Linked DNA regions of Mus musculus: regions 1 and 3 are each reported to be linked to region 2. The links are microRNA targets in miRTarBase. Many come from high-throughput screens and were not tested one by one. Region 2 holds a microRNA gene; each other region holds the end of a gene's coding sequence.

Evidence for each region. Region 2 holds the annotated microRNA mmu-miR-22-3p (AAGCUGCCAGUUGAAGAACUGU, at 4,117-4,138, opposite strand). A microRNA usually pairs through its seed, bases 2 to 8, with sites in the 3' UTR of a target mRNA and lowers its output. Matches are read on the target gene's strand: a 7mer-m8 pairs with bases 2 to 8, a 7mer-A1 pairs with bases 2 to 7 and ends in A, and an 8mer does both.
Region 1: the mRNA of Mecom is a reported target of mmu-miR-22-3p. Seed matches in the 3' UTR shown: 7mer-m8 at 6,529-6,535.
Region 3: the mRNA of Cdc25c is a reported target of mmu-miR-22-3p. The part of its 3' UTR that is shown has no 7-base or 8-base seed match.

What each region holds. Positions count from the first base shown.
Region 1 is chr3:29,945,976-29,953,455 of GRCm38, forward strand. It overlaps Mecom (MDS1 and EVI1 complex locus), which reads right to left. Exons shown (of 16, transcript NM_001370769.2): 16 at 5,321-6,875. The coding sequence ends at 6,741. Among named protein-coding and RNA genes, the nearest start is that of Gm52621, 47 kb to the right of the region's middle.
Region 2 is chr11:75,460,430-75,467,909 of GRCm38, reverse strand. It overlaps Mir22 (microRNA 22), which reads right to left and starts at 4,194; the gene lies at 4,100-4,194. Mir22hg (Mir22 host gene (non-protein coding)) reads right to left here and starts at 6,371. Exons shown (of 3, transcript NR_030711.1): 1 at 6,155-6,371; 2 at 4,053-4,217; 3 at 1,220-2,603.
Region 3 is chr18:34,726,959-34,734,438 of GRCm38, forward strand. Cdc25c (cell division cycle 25C) reads right to left here. Exons shown (of 15, transcript NM_009860.3): 14 at 6,619-6,730; 15 at 6,035-6,435. The coding sequence ends at 6,283. Among named protein-coding and RNA genes, the nearest start is that of Gfra3, 10 kb to the left of the region's middle.

The DNA of each region.
Region 1 (7,480 bases), not on the chromosome of region 2:
AAATTAAAATTAAAATCTAAAGACCTAGTGTCTTAGTTAGGGTTTCTATTCCTGCACAAACATCATGACCAAGAAGCAAGTTGGGGAGGAAAGGGTTTATTTGGCTTACACTTCCACAATGCTGTTCATCACCAAGGACGTCAGGACTGGAACTCCAGCAGGTCAGGAAGCAGGAGCTGATGCAGAGGCCATGGAGGGATGTTCCTTACTGGCTTGCTTGCCCTGACTTGCTCAGCTTGCTGTCTTATAAAACCAAGACTACCAGCCCACAGGTGGCACCTCCCCTCTTGATCACTAATTGAGAAAATGCCTTACAGCTGGATCTCGTGGAGGCATTTCCCCAAATGAAGCTCCTTTCTCTGTGATAACTCCAGCTGTGTCAAGTTGACACAAAACCAGCCAGTACACCTAGTAACCTAGCCAATTAGGAATGTAGTGGAGGCTGGAGGGGGGGAGAGAGTCTAGATTAGGAGGAGTAAAGAGGAGGTATTCCAAGAATAGTATGATGTACACAGTCTTCAAATGTATAATTGAACTTGGTGATTGATAGGAGTTCTGCCAGTCTGAGACAATTGAAACCAGATAGCAGTGAAGAACCAGCTCATGGAAGTCTGTACAGGCCATGTTGACCAGGTGGTATCCATTCAAGAAACACGGGAGAGATGCTGAGGGCATCCCTCATCCATTCCTCATCTGGAATATATATGTTCTTGAGAGGCCTTGTACTAACTATGGTCTTCTGGTACCTATCACTGTCCCTTGGTATCACAAGGGCCTCTAAAATCTTACTCTGCATTTTCTCCTGCCTGCTAGTTTCCACTGAAGTACAATGATAGGGTCAAAGGCTGGAGAACGGATAATATCAGGAACAGGAACAGGTCGTGACAGGTAGTCCATAGTAGAGACAGTATCAGGGTTATAACAGTACATCAGAAAACCCACAGTAACCGAGACCATCATGACTTCCTGATTTCTACCAGAGACAACTTTCTGATGTGTCCCTTTATAACCTGGATGTAAAGTGACCAAAAAAAAAGAAAAATTAATGACAGTAATTCAGTAAGAATTTCCACGGGCTACTCCCTGGTCTGGGTTGGTTCCCAAGCTTTACCTCAATTGTATACACTCTCACATAACCACCTGGTAATTGCCTTTCCCCTTAGGGTACACAGAATTTAATTCTTTGGGAAAACCATAGGGAGAGGTATTTTTTTTCTTTGCTCTTTAATAAGGGTAAAATATATATTCCATAAAATATCTATCAACCTCTTTAGACATATGGTTCCTGCATGACTAATACATTCCTGTAGTGTGCACCAACAACTGGACTCTTTTCCCCTTGCAAAAACTGAAATCCCATTAAACAACTCAGCATGCTTTAATCTCCCAGCCCCTTGGAAACCACCTTTGCTTCTATGAACTGATTACCATAGGTTCTCCATAGAAGCTGACTCCTACAGTAGCTTCCCTTCTGTGATTGGTTTATTTCACTTACTAAAATGTTCTTGACATTTATCCATGTTACTGTCTGTGTCAAAATCCCCTTCCCTTTGAAGAGTGAATCATACCCATTGCACAGATATGTGGACATAGATATAGATGTATATACATTTCACTCATCTATCTTTTGATGTCCACTAGATGCTTCCATCTTTTGTCTTCTGTAAAAACTGATGCTGTGAACACAAGTATGTAAATATCTCCTGACAATTCGATATCAGTCCTTTTGAGTGTATAACCCGAAGTGAATTCACGATTTTCTTAGGAACTTTCATGTAGTTTCCCAAAGTGGCTTTTCCATTTTACAGTATTTTTCTCTGCTCTTCCAGCAATTGTTATTTTTTGAATAGTACCCATCCTATATCCTAATGAGCACAGGGTGCTTTTCTGTTTTAAATACACAGAGCTTCAAGAACAGCATTCTGAATCCACCATGAATCGTTTTTTTCTACAAAGAACAATTAAACAATAAACCGCATCTCTTGGGGGAAGTCCCCAACCTGCTTGCTAAGTTTCCCTCTGTATCATCCTTTCTCCTCCCCACACCCCTCTTCCTGACAATCCCTTTAAAGCCCAAGGAGAGCAAACAAGGACCGCTCTTAACTGTTCCTTCTCTTATGCTTGCTTCCTCCTGAGTCTAACCGCTTCTGAAGGTGCTTAAATCATTGCATGTTAATCAATTCAAAACATAAGATTGTGAAAAATCTTCTGTTTTAGAAAAAATAAGGTCCACCAGCTTACGAGGTCCAGAAAAGACAGCCAAGACCCTTAGTAATAAAGCACTAGGGGTCTTTCAAAAGCACTGGTACTGTTGGCTCTGACTTGGAATAACCTGAGTTTTTTAAAACCTGGGAACAAGTACTTGGCAGTATCTTTCAAACTCTTTTCTGCCAAGACTCAGCCGCCTCACTGTCTCCTGGGCACATTAGCAGAGGTGCAGCCTCACTTTGGTTTCTCACTGGGCACATTTCTTCAGCTTTGGAATATTCTCTTTCTTCTCCTGTACATGAACTATGATATCTAAGACACTGTGTTCCCTGCAGACTACACATTCTCATCCAGCCAATAGCAGTTTCTCAGCTCTAGTTTCCTTATCTCTAAAACAGGAAGATAGCTCCCTGTCTCCATGTTAAGCACATTAAATGAGCAATGATTAGATAGATAGATAGATAGATAGATAGATAGATATGTATATATCACATTTGCATTAGTAAATGCAAGAACAATATTATTTTTCCTGAAATAGGATTGTAGGTAGCAGCCATGTGAAAAATCAAGTTAATGAATGAGCTATTTGAATGTCTTTTCTTAATTATTCTTGAACTTTTGGGAAGCTTCAAAGAATTATATTTGAATAAATGTCAAGAACTTTATTTAATACATATATTAGTGGCAATAGCTAATAACAATATATTGCATATTAAATGTAAAGAATAGATATAGTAGTCTTCTCATAAATTGCATGATGTTAAGTAATTTAATCATTCCTTAATATACACTTGTATCACAATCGCATATACCATCAATATATGTAATTTTATCAATGAAAGAAAACAAGTAGACACTGTTTGTTTCACATTTTCAAAGGATTTAACTTCCTTTGTTTTAAGCCTGTGTATGCTTTTCAAGAAACATGTCTACAGCAAGAGGCATAGTTTAGTGGTAGATCACATGTTTAATATGCTCCAGGCTCAATTCCCATCACATAAAACCAAGCAGAAATACAAGGGCCAGAATGAAAGAGAAATATTCCTAACTTTTTTGTATGAAACTTCTCTTTCACTCATTACAATAATATAGAATAGATCTTTGCTGTATTATAAATTTGTTCTCGCGTAATATTTGCATATGTGCCACTATATACATATTATGTCACTGTAAAATATATACCCAAATATTGTATATTATATTCTTTAAAATCCTCCCAAAAATTATAAGGTGTTTTGTACATTAAGAACTACTACAAATTATTTACAAAATTTAATTAATTAATTAATTAACTAATGTGCAATGCTGAAGGATTGAACGTAGGACTTTGTGAGTTCAACACTCTCCCACTGAGCTCTCATCCTCTGGTTTTCGTCTCCACGTATGCAGCCACTCAGTGAAGCAGACCAGATGGCAGCAGCCCCTGGTTTCCCAGAGGAGGTTTGGGGGAACTCGAATCCAGGCCTTCTGTCTCCAGTGTCTAGATAGTCTCCTGATCGTATCATTGACTCTTCCCAGGGCAGGTAGTTGGTGTAGTGATTACAAAAGCAAGTGACTAAGAGACAAGAAGTAAATCTTGATTAGCTTCCTAGAACTTGAGGCATAAACTCTAGCAAATCACGGATGTGAACATCGAAGTCTACAAGGAAGCTAGCAGCACTGGGGACATTTTAATTGCATTCATTGCTATTTGTGAGCATAGGCATAGTCTAAACTGCCCCTTTCTCCAGTGCTCCGCCTTCTCCCTTGTGTTGCTTGTACAGTCAAATGCTATAATCATGTTCTGTTTCTTGGTTACGGGAGTATACCTTAAGGTTATTTCTTGAAAATCCTGTTTACTTTCTATTATAAAATCTGTACACTAAATCCCAGAATTATATTCCTATAATAGCAACATTTAGAATTAATCTGACACTGAATTATATGCAAGAAGCAACCCAAAATCCTTGATTTTTATCCCAGGAGAGGCCTGATCTGTAGGGTCTCTCGTCCCATCACAGCGCTGCACATGTGGCCCTGAGCTCCCAGGAGCAAGAATGTACATGACAATTAACATGTCCTCATTTGTACAAATGGAAGCAGAGGAGCCCTAGTTTTCAACAATATTGAAAATTTGAAGAAACTATGTTTGATTCAACATATAAATGAAGAACTTTTCATGGTATACAATGACTTTGTTATTTTCTTTTTATAATGGTATTTTGAATCTGGGCAGAAATTTGAAAGAAACATAGGAGAGGTGGAGCAGTGGTTTAGAACACTTGCTGTTCTAGCAGGACCTGGGTTCGCTTTCTAGCACCCACAATAGAAGGCTGATAATTCCCTAGAACTCAAGTTCTAGGTTGCCTCATGCCATCTTCTGATCCCTTGGGGTACCAGAAATGTACATCACACACAGAGACACACACACACAGACACACACACACAGACACACACACACAGACACACACATACATAGACACACACACACAGACACACACACAAGCACACACACACACAGACACACACAGACACACACACACACAGACACACACACAGACACACACACACACAGCACACACACACACACAGACACACACACACATATATATATAATAATCTTAAAAGAACCTAGGGGAATGAATGGTGTTTCTGTCCTTATGAATTTCAATAGCATCAATATTATTATAAGAAAAATCAAAGGTAGGGTATATATTTCAGTGCTACCCTGTTTGCCTAGTGTGTGTAGTAAGTCCCTGGGTTTATACCTGGAACACATACACCAGCTAGACAAAAAAGAAAGAAATACCAGGAAGCTCCCTAGCGAACATTGTTGCTGGCTGCGCTCTGTCCCAACTACCATGTGTGCTGCAGCCCTAGAGGAAGGCCAGAGCTGGGAAGCGGAGCCTGCCTACGGGTCTTGACTTGCACTGTGAGCAAAGTTCACCACAAGCTGCAGAACTCATTGCTGGCTACGATCTATCACTGTGTCATCTCAAAACCTTACAAGCATGCTTACATTCCCCAAATCTGCTAGGGCATCAAGGTTTTAAACACTGTATCTTTAGATCATTTGGATGCCAGAAGGGAACTAAAATTGCATGAGAAAAGAAAGCAGCACACAGGGGAGTCATTATTTTTCATGATTTTTGGAAGTCTTTATTTTTTTTTTTAGTTGCTCCTCCCACAGTAACGCACTGAAAGGCATAACAGTTTATATTGTACAAAGCATGGGAAGAAAGTACCTCAACTTGCCAATTATTTCCAAATGAGATCACAAACAAAAAGGAAAAATGAAATCTGGTTTTTCGATAAAGGACAAAATAACTGAATAATGTCTGTTATTTACTTCTCTCTTTTTAACATAAGGTCAGGAACACTTCATTTTACAAATAGGATTAACATGAACATAACATCATCGCACAAGCTTGCAGACAACCAGCATAAAATATGGGGTACAGTTCTTAATCAGAAGGATCATGCTTCCATGAAAGAAATTATAATCATTTATACAATTGAATCGATTTCAGTATTACAAAAACTAAGTTGCATCTATTGGTATTTAGTTCATTAAAAAGGAAAACAAAACAACAACAACAAAAAGGAAGGAATGTTAAGAAAAGCCAAACACTATTGGGCACTCCCATACACAGGTCATGTCACCTTGGTCCTTGGAATTCAGAAAGGGGTGTGCCTCAGACATCATAAAATAGTGGCTGACGGGAACAGTGCTCTTTTTGATCAACAAACCATAGTTTGCCAACAAATAAATACATGATACACACAACACACAAAAAAATTGAAACATTAAAAACAGTGACATGATTGTCTAAAATTAAGATGTCATTACAAGGATTTGGCAAACATTGTATTAGTGGTACAGTGGTGATAAACAGTTATGTCACCGACTTAACCTCTCTGCATGAGCATCCATAGTTTACAATATACACATACCCTTTTTTCCCCCTAGTTTTAAACAATGTACTCAAGAAGGCCAAAGTTAAGAGGGTGTGGGGGGTGACAAAAAATCCTGCTATCACTTCCTATAATCATTGTGCATTTCTTCTGACTACTTCCATCTGCAAAAGATTAAATTACATAAAACTTTAAAAAGGAAAAAAAAAATCTGGTAGTTAGAAGCCACTGTTCCCAGTCAGATCAGGTGATCCTGTAGAGTAGAGTTTGATTTCTATGAAATGTCCATTTATATCAATGCTGCCATTTCAACTGCTCCTCTCAGCCACCCATGCCCTGCGGCAGGGGGAATGAAAGATGCCTTCCCTGGTGAGGTTTCCTTTCCCCTCCAATCATTTTGGATTAATTGATCCTCCAGAAGTCAGCAGCTGCCTTGGCTGTGCAAAACAAAATATTGAGAATAAATAGCTTCCTTTTTCTCTCTCTTTCTTTACTCATTCAGTTTAAGGTCACCAGACTTTAAATGCGTGACCCTTCAGGGTTATAAGGCATCCTGCTCAGCAGTCTTGTAAATTGTTCTGTATGAAAGAGCCATGCTACCGTTGGACTTGGTCCCACTCTGGTCAACCTTGACAATGTCATACATGGCTTATGGACTGGATGGCACTGGATTCTGCTGCAGCCCTTGCCATGCTGTGCCACACGTTGGAGGAACTGTGGGAGGTGGGATGGAGGGAATCCTTGTCAGACAGTGACAACATCATAGCATATGCCTAGAATGAAAAGGAGAGATTCGGTGAGTGGCATTGGAACAAAAACAGCAGATCTAATCTAAATAAGATAATCCACAGGTATTAGACGTGAGAGCCTGGACGGAAGCACACTTCATGAGCATATTTGGAAGTAGGGCTGTGCTGTTTTTTTTTTTAATCAAAATGGCATAAAATCAGTGCTCACCTTAGCCAGACTTATGTAGGGGATGCTCTGACTCTTGCATCTCGGAACCCAGACTTTTGAAGGTAAATGACCACTCCCAGACCCCTCAACAATATACATCTAGGGCTTATTTCTGCTCACTTTCAATCTAGTGCCCTTTCTCAAGTTCTACTTTGTGCTTAAAATACCTAGTGTAGACACCTGACACCCTTGAGAATAAGAGAGCCCAGGGAAGTTCCACCAAGAAAGAAAACAAAGCATGAGGACCCAACAACTTCCAAGCAACCCTTACTCAGGACTCCGCTGAGCAGACGGTGCACAGAAGTGCCCTGACAGGAGGGACACTTTCTTCCCTGTGATCATGCCAAGTTCCAAATAACTGTTTAGAGATTCCCTCACCATTGCCAAGTAAAATATTCAAATGAAGTGTTTGGTCTTGACT
Region 2 (7,480 bases):
CATCAAGTTCGGCTACTGAGTTCAGAGGCCTTACAACACATTAGAGGTCTTCTCCAACACCACTAGTCTCCGAGCCCCTTGGGGTTCCAGAAAGTCATCTAGTTTACCCCCACCTGACTAGTCTGGGGCTCCGCCCCACTAACTTTCACCTTCTGTTCTGGTTCCCTCATCTCTCACCTACTGGTCATCCTTACCCACAGACCAGAAGGTACAGGGCCAACAGAGCCAACTCCTGAGGGCCCAAATCTTGCACCATCTCACCTTTACCTCAGAGCACGCCAGTCAGGCAGAGCCGAGCTCTGCCCACCTGTAACTTCCTTACATAGTACTACCCAAACGGAACAGCTTATGGGAGAATCCCTTCTTGAGTCCTACCCCCTCCCCCCCCCCCAAACATCACCAAGAAACTTTATTAGGTAGAAGAAGCAAATGGAAGACACATACACCTCCCCTCCCCAGGTCTCAAGTAAGAAAAACAAACAAGCTAAAAATAAGACTCTTCAGATTCTAGACCCCTTTGGCCTTAAGAGGAATATCCTTTCCAACCACAAATCCCCCAAAGAGTGACAGGTTTTGAGCATTTCCCTTCTTTCTTATTCTAAGCCACACCTCCTTAGCTGGCTGACAGTCAGAAAGTCAGAGGAATGCTTCCTGTGTGTAGAGAGTAGGTGGATTCAGACAATTAATGAAGTTCATAGAATTGACTTTAGTGTGGTGGAGCTTGAAAAGGCCCCTGGATATGATTCCTAGCTCCAGTGTACACACACACATACACACACACACACAAGCATGCACACACACACTCAAGAAGCAATAGGTATCCCAAGCAAACATTTTCTTTCACCTGGCACTTGGTGTAGCCCATCCTCCTACAAGCAAATTCTCCAAAATCTAAACATGACAATGAGGACTAGAGGGAGAGATGGCTTTAGTGGCTAGGAGCATTTGCTGCTCTTCTAGAGGACCTGAGTGCGATTCTGAGCATCCACATCAGAAGATCCAAACAGCGTGCAGCTCCAGGGAATCTGATGCCCTCTTCTGGCCTCTGCAGAATGTGCACCCACACTCTGGTGCACAAAGACACATAATATAACATACAAATATATTTTTTAAAAATTACAGAGGGAGTGAAGAGACGGCTCAGAAGTTAGCGCTAGCTGCTTTCAGAAGACAATGTTGGATTCCTGCCACTCACAGGCAAAACACTCATAAAAGAGTAAAAATTTTAAAACATTTATTTGTCTTTTGTATTTTATTTAACATATGAAAGCAATGCACAATATTTAAAAATTAGAAAGACAGAAAAAACAAGGGGAAAATTCACAATTGTACTATCCCACCATACAAAAACAACCATTCTTAACATTTTGAATCCACTTTCAGTGTTTTTTTAAAAAATATATTACAAGTATGCATTCATATTTTAAAAACAGTCACAAACTCATACTTTTCATAATCTTTTTAGTATTCAGTATTTATATTTCCACTCAATTGGATGGTTTTTAAAAAAATATATTACAAGTATGTGTTCATATTTTAAAAACAGTCACAAACTCATACTTTTATAATCTTTTTAGTATTCAATATTTATATTTCCACTCAATTTTTCTTCTGTAAGACTTTGGATGGCTGCACAGAACACCACCATCAGATGAATATAATTTACTTAGGCAAGCCCTAGCTATACATTTTCATGACAGCAGAAAAGGAATGGACTTCCAAACAAACAGCTGCGTTCCATTTTTCTCTATTACAACCCTGAGATGAACATTTTATAACCAAATCCTTATTTTAGGATACATTTCTAAGACAGCAAACTACCAGGTCCAAAGGCATCTCTCACAATGGTTGGTACTGCCACACACAAGGCACAGGAGCCTTCTTCTGGCTTTCATTTGCTTGTTGTATTATGATCAGGGAAAACGGTTTCAGCCACATCTGCTTTCTTTGAATTACTAACCAATGCTTTATTTTATTTTGTTTTATTTTTTGAGACAGTCTCATATAGCCCAGGCTGGCTCAGAACTCATTGTATAGCAGAGGATTACCTTGAATGTAGGCTCCTTTGCCACCACCTCCAGAGTGCCGGGATTGCAGACCTGGGCCAACCTGTTCAGTTTTATGCAATGCAGAAGACAGAACCAGGGCTTGGTGCATGTTAAGCAAACCTACCAACTGAGCTACAACCCCAGTCATAGATATGTTTTCCCACAGTGTTACACATTTGAATCTCTTTTTGAATTTGCTGTGTATTTCCTTTCAGAGGTGGCTCATGCTCCTTGAGGCTGTTTATAGAAACTGCAGGGTAGAGATGGGACCATACTTCCTGGAGGCCCTTCATCTCCCAGGAAGGCAGGTCCTGAGAGGAGATGGCTGGAAGCACGTGTCTTTCACTGAGGCTGGCTGGCTGCTCTCTTTCCTGGTGTTCTCCAGGCTTCTACGTGCCTCTCTGACCAATGTCCGGATAGGCCCTTGTGGTTCCAGGCCAGGTCCTCCACTGTCTTGTGCCTGCCTCTGTTGCTTCCAGGCTGCCCTTTCTCACCTCTGAGGCTCCATGTTGGATGAGGACAGCAGAGCCATGTACCCAGTGCTGGAGGGACACACTGTGGCCAGGGAAGGGAGGAGGAAAGAAAGCAAGCGAGGTCGAGGGAAGGGCAATCTTTGTCGCAATGTGTGAGCCGACTCAGCCTCCCCAGCCCGTCTGCTACAGTCCCTTACACATCCTATCCCTCAGCTTAGACTGCAGTGGGGCTGGATTAGATGATCTAGTCTCCCCTATGACTTTCAGTTTCTCACAAATGGGGAACAGGCTAGAACTCCTCCTCCTGTCAAATACAACAAACAGCCTCCTGTACCCCCTGAACCCATCTTCTGTTAGGAAGACTGGGCCAAAGGTGAACCACAATCAGAGACCAAGCCCATACGTGAGAATGAATCAGGAGCTAGAGGCAGCAGAAGGGACTCATATCATACAACCCATCTCCCCTGACAATTTCTTGCCTGCACAGTATTGAGCAGAGTCTCACTATCCTGGAAAGCAAAGGCAGAAAATAAATGGCAGTGGTTGCTAGAACCCAACCAAGAGCTACAGTTTTGCTTTAGGTGGAGGGAAAGCCTTGGACCACCCATGCATGGTGAGAAGCCAGTAGAGGACTAGCCTCCCACGAGCTTGCCTGGGACTTAACCATAGCCTTTCCTTCCATCCTAATCCCCCTGAGCTGGGTGAGTAGTCAGGGGGTGGGGGAAGGACAACAGTTCATGTGAAGAGCTGTTTCGTTTCCATCCACGAGAAGAGAAGAGCCCAGGCTCTGAGTCACCACTGGTGGACTTTTAATGCCCTCCTGCCTACTTATCTATGGGATTCCCCATTATACAGGTGGAAAAATCCACAGGTGTAAGGGTAAGTACCCCTAAACCCAAAATCTGGGCCAGACTAAAAATAAATAAAGAAATGTAAATACAGCCGGGCGGTGGTGGCACACGCCTTTAATCCCAGCACTTGGGAGGCAGAGGCAGGCAGATTTCTGAGTTCGAGGCCAGCCTAGTCTACAAAGTGAGTTCCAGGACAGCCAGGGCTATACAGAGAAACCCTGTCTCGAAAGACAAACAAACAAATAAACAAAAAAAGTAAATACACAAATGACTACTTAGAACGGAGTTTCAATGTCCCCCTTCCTGAGTACATTTACTTTTGGACCTCATGGAAAGGAAAGTGTGTGTGTGTGTGTGTGTGTGTATGTGTGTGTATGTGTGTGTGTGTGTGTGTGTGTGTGTGTGTGTGTTGGCATGGTGATGATGAAGATAAGAAAGGCAGGCCTACAAGGAAGTCTCAGTAAACAGACAGACTTTTCCTTCTATTTCTTCCCACTGCCACACAGACATCAACTAATCTTGGGGAGGTGGAGTCACCTATTCCCCAATTTATAGACAGTGCCTTTAACCTAAATCTTTCACTGGGCCAGTGGGGGTAAGGGCTCCCCAGAGGACCAGGGTTTCCCTCCCATAAAGCCATCACCCCAGCTGTCCAGACCTTCCCACCCCAGTTCTGTCACCTTCCGGATGATAGGCAAAGCTGCTGCTTCTCCTCTTCCTCCACGAAGCCAGGGGCAGAGGGCAACAGTTCTTCAACTGGCAGCTTTAGCTGGGTCAGGACATAAAGCTTGCCACTGAAGAACTACTGCGGCTCAGCCAGGTGAGGGTGTGGGAGGCACAGGTTCCTAAAAGGAAGGGGAGGAAAAAAAAAAACAGGAAAGCTGGGTGACAGGGCCAGCGACCCAGAGGCCATCCAAACCTGGCTCTAGCTGACTTTCAGTACCTTCTAATGAGGGGTTCTTGAATAAGAAGCAAGAGGCTTCTAAATGCACTTGCTTTGTGCCCCTTTACAGACTAGGAGCTGGCAACTCTTGGCAACCTGCTAAGGAGCCCAGCATCTTCGGCATTCAAAGGGCAGGGTGTAGAACCCAAGTCCCAAGTTAAAAAAAAAAATGTACTTCAGAAATATGAGCTCTGTGATCAACTCAAATGACTTGTTCTTAGGGAATTCAGCAGCAAGGAGGGTTTGTGTAGGGTTAGAAATGGGAGGGGCACTAGAGTTGGAAGGTCAGCAGGGGCTCTCAGGAGTCTGAGGGAGGACAGCTGACCAAAGGCAGGAGGGGAGGGAGGTATGGGTAGGGTGGCTGGGCAGCTTCCTCAGGACTAGAGATGCCAGGCATTCCGCTTGCACATTCCGGGTACATCTGGTATGAATTCCAGGCTGTCTGCCGGCCCCTCCACGTCTGAACTTTGTTCCAAGTTCCAAGCCCCGCCCCCACAGTTCCAACGCATGAATCAGCAGTAAAAGCCGGGGCCCTACAGCATGGCTCAGGGAGGGGGCTGGGGGCGTGGCAGGCTAGAGGGCTGGGAGCCCGAGAGGGTGGTTCTGCACAGTCAGTCCAAGGACATGGCCACTGCCAGATAGAAGGGCCAAGGAGACTTTGCCTTGGGATTTCTATTTTCAGAGAGTGGAAAGATTACACTAGGGTGGGCAACTTTCAAATTCCAAAAGCCTCTTGGGAAGTATAAACTTTGTCGGATCTTCCTTCTCCTAGGTGATCAGTCTCTGTCCACTTCTCTCTGCCCAGGATAGCTCTGTTCAGGCCACAGGGTTCACTGGCTGCTGAGAGTTTGTGCCAAGCAGGTGCCCTTGGCTGCGGGGCGGGGTGGGCCCAGGGCACTGACCCTCTGACCAGCTGCTCCATCAACTCTCTGGCACCATGACAGCTTCTAGCCTACTCTAACAGCCAGGGTGACAGGCCAAATGAGTTGGAGACTGAAACTAGGGCCAGAGGGAGGTGGGAACGTTAGCCTAACCGGAGGCCGTGGGGAGGGGCCAAGAGTTGGCCAGGAGGTGGGGAGAGAGGGAGCCCAGCGATGACTAACCCAGGCGCCCCACCCAGCCAGCCGGCTTCCCAGGCAGTCAGGCCAAGCCCGGGCTAGGGGCCTCTCTACCGGACATACTAGGGGGGAGGTGCAAAGGTGACCTTCTCTCTGTCCAAGACAGCCAGTTAGGCTGGGAGGGGGGGTGCGGGTAGAGTTTCCAGGCACTCCTCCTGTCCGCCCCCCCAACCTCCGCCCAACCCGCGGTGAAACCCTAACCTTTGGGTTGCATAAGGCCTCCGCACCGCCGCCCCCTACTCCTTTCCCCTCCCCCCTTACATAACATCCCCGGGAGGGAACGAGAGGAGGGGCCGGACCGCCCAGCGACCCCTTCCCTGCCAGGGACTTGAACTGGCCCTGACCCAGTCAGCGCCGGTAGAGGCAATGCACCTCCGCACCCCTCGCTCGTCCAGATCCTCCCTAGGCTAAATGGTCAGCTCGGGCATCCTCAAACCAAAGGGCGTCGGGGTTAGACGCCCCCGGCCCTCTGGCCTCTCATATTCCTCCCCAGTTACTTCTCCAAACCTTCTGCCACGACTCCTGTCCGGGACTCTCTCTTTAAACGTCCAGACACACTACTCGGGAGAGTCCAGGCTCCTCTCCCAAGAGCGCCCCTGTCCCCGCCGCCCCCTCTCCCCTCCCCCAGAAGGGCAGGGTGTGGCCGTCAGGACCCTACTTTCCCCATCACCCGGTTACCGCGGTTCCCCCCGGGATGACCGGGTCCCCAGATCACACCCACCTGATGCTGGGTGCGGGGGTTGCTGTGGACAGAGGAGCAAAATCACTGCGACCTGTCCGCACGGCCGACCGCTCTGTCTCTTCCCAGCGCCCAGCACACACCGGCTCCAGTCTCCGATCAGCTGGCGGCGTCGTGACGCACGAGCTGCGAATGAACCACCCAGGGCCAATCACCGCCCATTGCTGGGCAACGTGACCACACCCACTCGGGGGCGCCAGCACCTCTGCTTACTCCCGCCCATTCAGGCGTCTGGGCTCTGATTGGCAAGGAGGCCACCCCCTTGCCTGGAGGAGCTTCTCTAAGCCACGCCTACCAACTAACCAACTGGCCAATGGCTGAAAAGGTGTGGCTAACCCTCGGCCTAGGCGACTTGCTTAGACCAGCTTTACGTCAAACTACAGTTTAAAGAGCAGAAGGAAGTATAGGCGTGTATTTTTGCAGTGCATTCCGGTCAATGAAGTTCTTACGGTGACACTCAGCTTCCCAGAATGCAGCGCGCTCTGTGAGTTGGCATTTTTAAACTGATCTCTGACTCGGTCGCGGGGAAGTCCTTAAAGGGCTACAGCCCCTCCTTCTTGGAACTTCTTTTAGCCTCAAAACTGATTCACAGGAGGCCTGAGCTAAGCGAAGGTGGAGCACGCGAAGCAACAGGAGTGAGTAGAACTAAAGATGGAAGCCAGCCACCGATGCAGCAGAACACCCGAAGTCTTTTTTTTTTTCCACAAATAGGACTTTTTTTTTTTCGGGGTATAGGGACCACTGTCACTCGCACGGCCCCAGTCTTCACTGGAGAGCTAGCTCGAGGTCTTCGGGGTATAGGGACAAATGTCACCCGCACAGGCCCAATCTTCACTGGAGGTCTAGTCTATCCCTCGTGGGTTTAGTGAAATCTTTTCTAGTGAATGTCTCGTCTTAGTCGCTGAAGAGCCCACGGCTTCTCAAGGGGCACGTTCTTAACAAAGGATTCGCCCTCACTTTTAGAGAGGAAGCGTCTTTTTAAAAATTAGGGGAAGATCTTTACCAAAGTAGTATCAACCAGAAACCCGGTTCTAAGATTAACACCCATTCAGTCCCGCCCTCCGAAACGCTTCTCTGACTCAGGCCTACTTAGGGAAGTGATTTCAAAGGTGGAGACCAATGAAGAGGCGGCTCCTTCCCTAGGGGCCAATCAGAGTCTGAAAGGCGGGGGATGGGCAAAAACCGAAATGAACCCAATGACTTGGCAAAAGCTGCTGAATTGCTTATTTAAAGGGACAAGACTGGGACCACCTCTTCACTCCCTCCCCACCCCCAAAGAGAAACTTGTGGCCTGGGGTTCTTGACTTT
Region 3 (7,480 bases), not on the chromosome of region 2:
CTTTGACAATGCAGCAGTGCCCTCTGCTGTGAAGCTTGCATTTAACAAGAAACCAGTCTGGCCACAGGCACAGGCTACTCCATGGCTACAGCCTTCTTTCCTATGCACTTACATCAAGAATGTTAGACTATTCCAGATTCTGGGAAGATTCCCACCCCCACCCCCACCCCCCAGTTGTCTGTCTATGATTCAGAGTGCTTCCTCCTTCCCTAACCTTGGGTTATTGGTCACTAGTGCCAGAGTGCCATCTTACCACACAGATGAAAGTCTGCCTACCTCAGAGCTCTGGAGCTCAGAACAGGTTGGTCTTAAGACTAACTGATCTCTCCTTGCACTTCTAATTTCTCTCCCCTCCCCAGCCCCTCCCTCCTTTTGGGTTTTGAAGACCTGTAGCTGTCTGTCCTGGAACTTGCTCTGTAGACCAGGCAGGCCTTGAACCCACAGAGATTTACCTTCCTCTGTCTCCTGTGTGCTAGGATGAAAGGTGTGTGCCATCACTGCCCAGCTGAAGAGTCGTTTTTCAAAGTTTTGTTTTGCCTGCATCTTAGGGTTTCTATTTCTGTGAAAAACACCATGAGCAAAAGTGACTGGGGAGGAAATGCCACAGACCACCCCAGTTGGGTATGGGGGTCCCTGGAATGAGGGGCCTCGAAGCTAGGTGAGTAAGGATTCAGCAGTGACAAACAGAAACAAACACTGAGGCAGTTTGAATCTGAGTGTATTTTGTAGCTCTCAAGCAAGGGATTTTATACATTAAAAAAACAGAGCCAGGCGCCTTTAATCCCAGCACTCAGGAGGCAGAGGCAGGTGGATTTCTGACTTCAAGGCCAGCCTGGTCTACAAAGTGAGTTCCAGGACAGCCAGGGCTATACAGAGAAACCCTGTCTCAAAAAACCAAACCGAAAACAAACAAACAAACAAACCAAACATTACATCTCTTAGAAACTATATCCAGTAAAACAACCACAAATATCAACAGAAATCATTTGGCAAGGTAAAGCACAAAAATATCTCTTAGAAACTGTACACAGTGAAACAATCACAAACAGAACAGGTAACAACATTGTTAATGTAAATCATCAAAATATAACAATTCTAAAAGAATTTATTCAGTGGGGGCAATCATCCAAGGCTAGTGGCATATTTCCAAGAGCAGTTAATAAATCTTTATGCTTTTAACTGCTTAGCTAACTTTCCAGCCCCATGGTCAATTATTATTTAACATCTGATGCCTGATTTTTTATAAATCTTCAACACATAAATTTAAACTATTTTAATTCTTTCTAGTTGAGGCTTTCTTTTTTTTTAAGGAATGCCATTTTTTTTTTAAAAGATTTATTTATTTATTATATGTAAGTACACTGTAGCTGTCCTCAGATACTCCAGAAGAGGGCATCAGATTTCGTTACGGATGGTTGTGAGCCACCATGTGGTTGCTGGGATTTGAACTCGGGACCTTCGGAAGAGCAGTCAGCACTCTTAACCACTGAGCCATCTTGCCAGCCCGGAATGCCATTTTTTAAAAGATTTATTTATTATATCTAAGTACACTGTAGCTGTCTTCAGATGCACCAGAAGAGGGCATCAGATCTCATTAACAGGTGGTTGTGAGCCACCATGTGGTTGCTGGGATTTGAACTCAGGACCTTCGGAAGAGCAGTCGGTGCTCTTAACCACTGAGCCATCTCTCCAGCCCCAATTGAGGCTTTCTTTACCATTTACCAAAACCCACCTCTGATGACACACGTGTAGCCATATGAGAAATTTTATTGTTGGGAAAGGTTTTTTTTTTTTTTTTTTTGGTTTTTGAGACAGGGTTTCTCTATAGCCCTGGCTGTCCTGGAACTCACTTTGTAGACCAGGCTGGCCTCGAACTCAGAAATCCACCTGTGTCTGCCTCCCGAGTGCTGGGATTAAAGGCATGCGCCACCACACCTGGCTTGTTAGGAAAGTTTTTATCTATCATAATAATTTGGTAAATGATTTAAAAAGTTAAGTGTTGGTTTCCCTGGGGATAAGATCTTGTTAGTGACCCCTTATTCTTGTTTAAGATCTTGGCCTAGGCTACCGGGATCATGTGAAATAAGAAAAGGAATAAGAGAAAACAAAACAGATAGATTGCCATGAGAACTATGGCTTAATAGTTTTTCCAGCGAAGAGTTCCACAACTGGTTCCAGGAAGCCTCTCCCTTCTGAGGTCAATTGCCTCAGAAGTGGAACTTGTCACACAGATCCTACTGGAGGTGGTGTGGCATGGAAAGGGTTTATTTTAGCTTGTAACTCTCAGGTCACACTCTATCACAGAGGGAAGGCACAGAACCCAAGGCAGGAATCTGGAGGCAGGAACAGATGCAGAGGCCATGGAGGAACACTGCTTACTGGCTTGCTCAGACTACTTTCTTTCTTTCTTTCTTTCTTTCTTTCTTTCTTTCTTTCTTTCTTTCTTTCTTTCTTTCTTTCTTTCTTTCTTTCTTTTTTGTTGTTTGTTTTACAAGATAGGGCTTCCCTGGCTGTCCTGGAACTTACTCTATAGACCAGGCTGGCCTGGAACTCAGAGATCTGCCTGCCTTTGTCTCCCGAGTGCTGGGATTAAAGGCGTGTGCCACCATGCCTGGCTCAGACTACTTTTTTGTTTTGTTTTGTTTTTTTTTTGTTTTTTTTGCGAGACAGGGTTTCTCTGTGTAGCCCTGGCTGTCCTGGAACTCACTTTGTAGACCAGGCTGGCCTCGAACTCAGAAATCCGCCTGCCTCTGCCTCCCGAGTGCTGGGATTAAAGGCGTGCGCCACCACGCCCGGCCTTACTTTTTTTTTAAAACATGTATTTATTATATGTAAAGTACACTGTAGCTGTCTCTCATTATTGGATGGTTGTGAGCCATCATGTGGTTGCTGGGATTTGAACTCATGACCTTTGGAAGAGCAGTCAGTGCTCTTAACCACTGAGCCATCTCTCCAGCCCCAGACTACTTTCTTAATTAACACAGGACTACTAGTTCAGGGTGGCACCACCTAGAGTGAGCCCTTCCATATCAATCACCAATCAAGAAAATATCCAACAGACTTAACTATAGGCCAATTGTATGGAGAAACTTTCTTGATTATGATTCCTTCTTCCCACAAGACCCTAGTTTGTGTCAAGTTAGCATTAAAAATTAGCCAGCACAGCTAAAAATTAGCTGGTGAGGTGGCTCAGTGTGTAAAGGCAGTGACTCTAAGCCTGATGTTCCAGATTCAACCCCCAGTCAGGTGACAGGAGGGAATCTTGCAAGTTATTCTCTGGTTTCCACGTGAGCAATTGCACATATATACACATTCTATATTATATCCTTTACAATTATAAGTGTTTTGCTTCCATGTATGTATTTGCATCAAATGTGTGCCAGATGTCCCAAAAGATCAGAAGAGGTTGTTAGATAACTTGGAACTGGAATTAGAAATGGTTTGTGAGCCACCATGTGCATGTTTTCTGGAAGAGCAGCACGTGTTCTTAACCACTGAAACATCTCTCCAGTTCTTTAAAGCTGATAAATCAAAGAAAACAATTCTAAGTGTGTGCCAAGTGTAGGTGCCCATGGAGGCTGTAAGAAAGCCTTGGTTCCTTGGAGCTGGAGTTTCAGGTAGCTGTGGGCTTGTTGATGACCATCCTGGGAACTGAACTTGGGTCCCCTTGCCATTTGAGAGCCATGGTCTTATATAACTTATGCTGATAGATACCCAAGAATGACCCTGACTTTGTAATTTCCCTGCCTCTCTCTTCAGACTACTGAGATTAAAAGCATGGACCAGCATGCCCATTTATGGTGCATGGAGATAAATAACCCGGGGATTCATGCATACTGGACAAGCGCTCACCAACTTAGTCATTCCAGACTGGTCTGAGCTGCAGAGTGAAATCATTTCAAAAATTTTAAATGAGAAACATGGGCTCCTGCTGCTGGTTTAGTGGTTAAGAGCACTTGCTGTTCCCAGAACTCACAATCAATCATCTTTAACTCCAGTTCTGGATCTAGTGTCCTATGATGGCCTCTGCAGGCACCAGGCACTCAAGTGGTATATATATATACATACACACACACACACACACACACACACACACAATACATGCAAGGAAAACACTCATACATATAAATTAATCTTAAAATTAAAATAAAACAGTGAAAAAGTTCATATGCATCTATGCATCTTGTAGTGGAACTCACTGTTATGTCTTTTTTTTTTTTCTTTTTGGTTTTTCAAGACAGGGTTTCTCTGTAGTCCTAGCTGTCCTGGAACTCACTTTGTAGACCAGGCTGGCCTCGAACTCAGAAATCCACCTGCCTCTGCCTCCCGAGTGCTGGGATTAAAGGCGTGCACCACCACGCCCGCTCACCGTTATGTCTTAAACCCAGGACATTTGTTCCAGGTTGGAGACCAATCAATCAGCATGGTCCTGCCTTGACCGTTTAGAGATACAAACACGTAGCACTAAGTCCAGCTCAAGAATACAGTTGAAACTTAGCCTTAGGGCCAGAGCAGTTGTTACTATGCCCAAGGTACATCAAATTACCTGAAAAGGGAAGTTTTCTTTTTTTAAAAAGATTTACTTATTATATATAAGTACACTGTAGCTGTCTTCAGACACACCAGAAGAGGGCATCAGATCTCACTACAGATGGTTGTGAGCCAACATGTGGTTGTTGGGAATTGAACTCAGGATCTCTGGAAGAGCAGTCTCCCAACCGCTGAACCCTCTCTCCAGCCTCCAAAGGGAAGATTTTGATTTTATTTTGTAAGACAGGGTCTCATGTAGCTGAGGCTGGCTTTGCACTGGCAGGGAGCTGAGTGTGATCTTGAACCCCAGCTCTCCTGGGTCTGACTCACCAAGTACTCAGTATAGCACTTATTTTACACTTGGCAGAAAGTTTTAAAACTCAGAACCTCAGTTCTGGCTTAAAATGAAGAGTCATGACTTAAATACACACACACACACACACACACACACACGCACACACACACACACGCACAGAGCACACGCACAGAGCACATGCACACACACACACACACAGCACACACACACACACACACAGCACATGCACACACACACACAGAGCACACACACACACACACACACACAGAGCACACACACACACACACACACACACACACAGCACACGCACACACACAGACAGCACATGCACACACATGCTTTAACGAATCTGCGGACCATCCTTGCAGGGGTCATGCTTTTGTTCCACCTTTAGTGTAAATGCTGCTGAAAGCAGGCACCATCTTTTTTTTTTTTTAATTTTAAGCAGATTCATATGACGCTGAGGGTCTAAAGCTTGAAAACTAAAGAAAAGAACTTTGGCATTATCAGGCTATACATGAGGTCTCACAGATCTGTGTTTGTGTGTGTGTGTGTGTGTGTGTGTGTAAGGTCAGGTGTTGGCCTTCATCTTCTAACTTTAGACAGTCTCTTCTGTATGCCATATTAGCTGGCCTGAGAGCTTCCATGGCTTCTGTCCCCACCTCTCTTCTCATGGTGAGGATTACCACGATTACAGAGGCACAGTAGAGTGGCCAGTGTCCTATTAGCTCCCTAGGTTTGGAACTCAGAGCCTCGTGCAACCGTCTTACTCACCCAATGAGGCACCTCCCCAGCCTGACTGTATTTCTTAACTGTTTATGGTGTGCAAGCTCTGACTCAGTGCTCCTGTGACAGGCAAGCCCTTAAAGGAGCCTCCTCTCAAGACAATTCTCCTTATGCAGATCCTCCAGGAAGAGCCTGGGTTCCAAGTCACTTCGATTTTACTTTCCCATTTGAGTAAAGAGGCTGAGAAAGGGAAGAAAATACATAGAGGGTAAGCCATGTTCTCAGAAAACCAGAAGCCTGTGCAGAGCTGCTGCTTGTGGCAAGATATGGGAGACTGGGGCTAGAACTCTGAACTCTCAAACACAATGCTCATCATCTAGAACAGCCAGCAGCTCACGGAAACCACGCCCAGCCTCAGGAGGGGCACTTCATCAGCACGACAGGCTTAGAGACATCTAGAGGTTTTGGTTTAATGGGTTTTGTTTTATTTTGTTTGTTTTGTTTTTGAGACAAGGTCACATGTAGACCAGGCTGGCCTCAAACTCAAAGATCCTCCTGCCTTTGCCTCCTTAGTGCTAGGACGAAAGGCATTTATTTACAGCCTGCCTGGCTCTGCCCATGTTTGCAGACATAATCACGGGATTAGCGACATGGAAGATGACTCCTTCTGTCCAGGGTCTGTAGTGTCTTCACTGCCACCGTCATAGTCACTATTGTGGGCTCGCACCCTTCACCAGGAGGGCAATCTGTCCCTGCAGCTGCCGCTCCCCTTCCTGGGCCTTGCTCTGGCTTCGCCAGCTCAGCAGCTCAGCCTGGTGGTCCTGGTGAAGCATGGGACAGTAGCTCTGTGGGTCACACAGCTCCTGAAAGGTACGAGACAAAGGTTTCTCAGACTCCTGAGCCCTGCCTACTACAGAGAAGAGATACTGCTCCCTGGGTCTGAGAAACCCGTTTTCTCCTAGACTGCTTTACATCCCTGGAGACTATGCTAAAGCTGAGTTGGAGCACCCCTCCCACCATGTCTGAGATCTTCCACATCCTTTTACCATATACTCTGGAAAGAAATCTCTGTAGCCCCCTTTGAGGATATATAGCTCAGGGTAATATAATGCCGGATACTGGTTCAGAGCCCTGTCTTTTTCTCTCAGAGAACGGCACCTGTAAAGAAAACACAGAGATGGGTTGGATGGAGGAAGCAAGGCCAGGACTCTATGGTCCTTCAGTGGGAGGGAGGGAAGAACACACTATGAGTAACTGCCCCGGAGGACCTCCAGTGTTGGGACGTAGCTCAGTGGTAGAGTACCATGTAGTACACAGAAGACCCAGGGTTTTGTGTTTTGTTTTGTTTTGGTGTGGTTTTGGTTTTTTCGAGACTGGGTTTCTCTGTGTAGCCCTGGCTGTCCTAGAACTCACTCTGTAGACCAGGCTGGCCTTGAACTCAGAAATCTGACTGCCTCTGCCTCCCAAGTGCTGAGACTAAAGGCGTGCGCCACCACCACCTGGCAGAAGACCCAGGTTTAATCCACAGCCACCCCCACCCCAATACACACAGGCTCTCACCATGTTTACCAACCAAGGTCCAGTGACACTCTTCCCTTTCCTCTATTGAAGCTTCATCCCCAAATCCCTTTGTGTGTGTGTGTGTGTGTTTTACATGGGTTTTTCATTGTTTTGTTTTGTTTTGTTTTGTTTTTGAAACAGGGTCTCACTATGTAGACCAGGCTGGTCTCAAACTCAGTTATCTATCTGCCTCTGACTCCTAAGGGCTGGGATTATCGGCATGGACCACCATGTCTGGATCTTTTTTTTTTTTTTGAGACAGGATCTCTAGCTCAGACTGATTTAGAACCTTAAATTTCTGATCTTCCTGCTTGTGTATCCCTGACACACCACGACTCCCTTACTTTT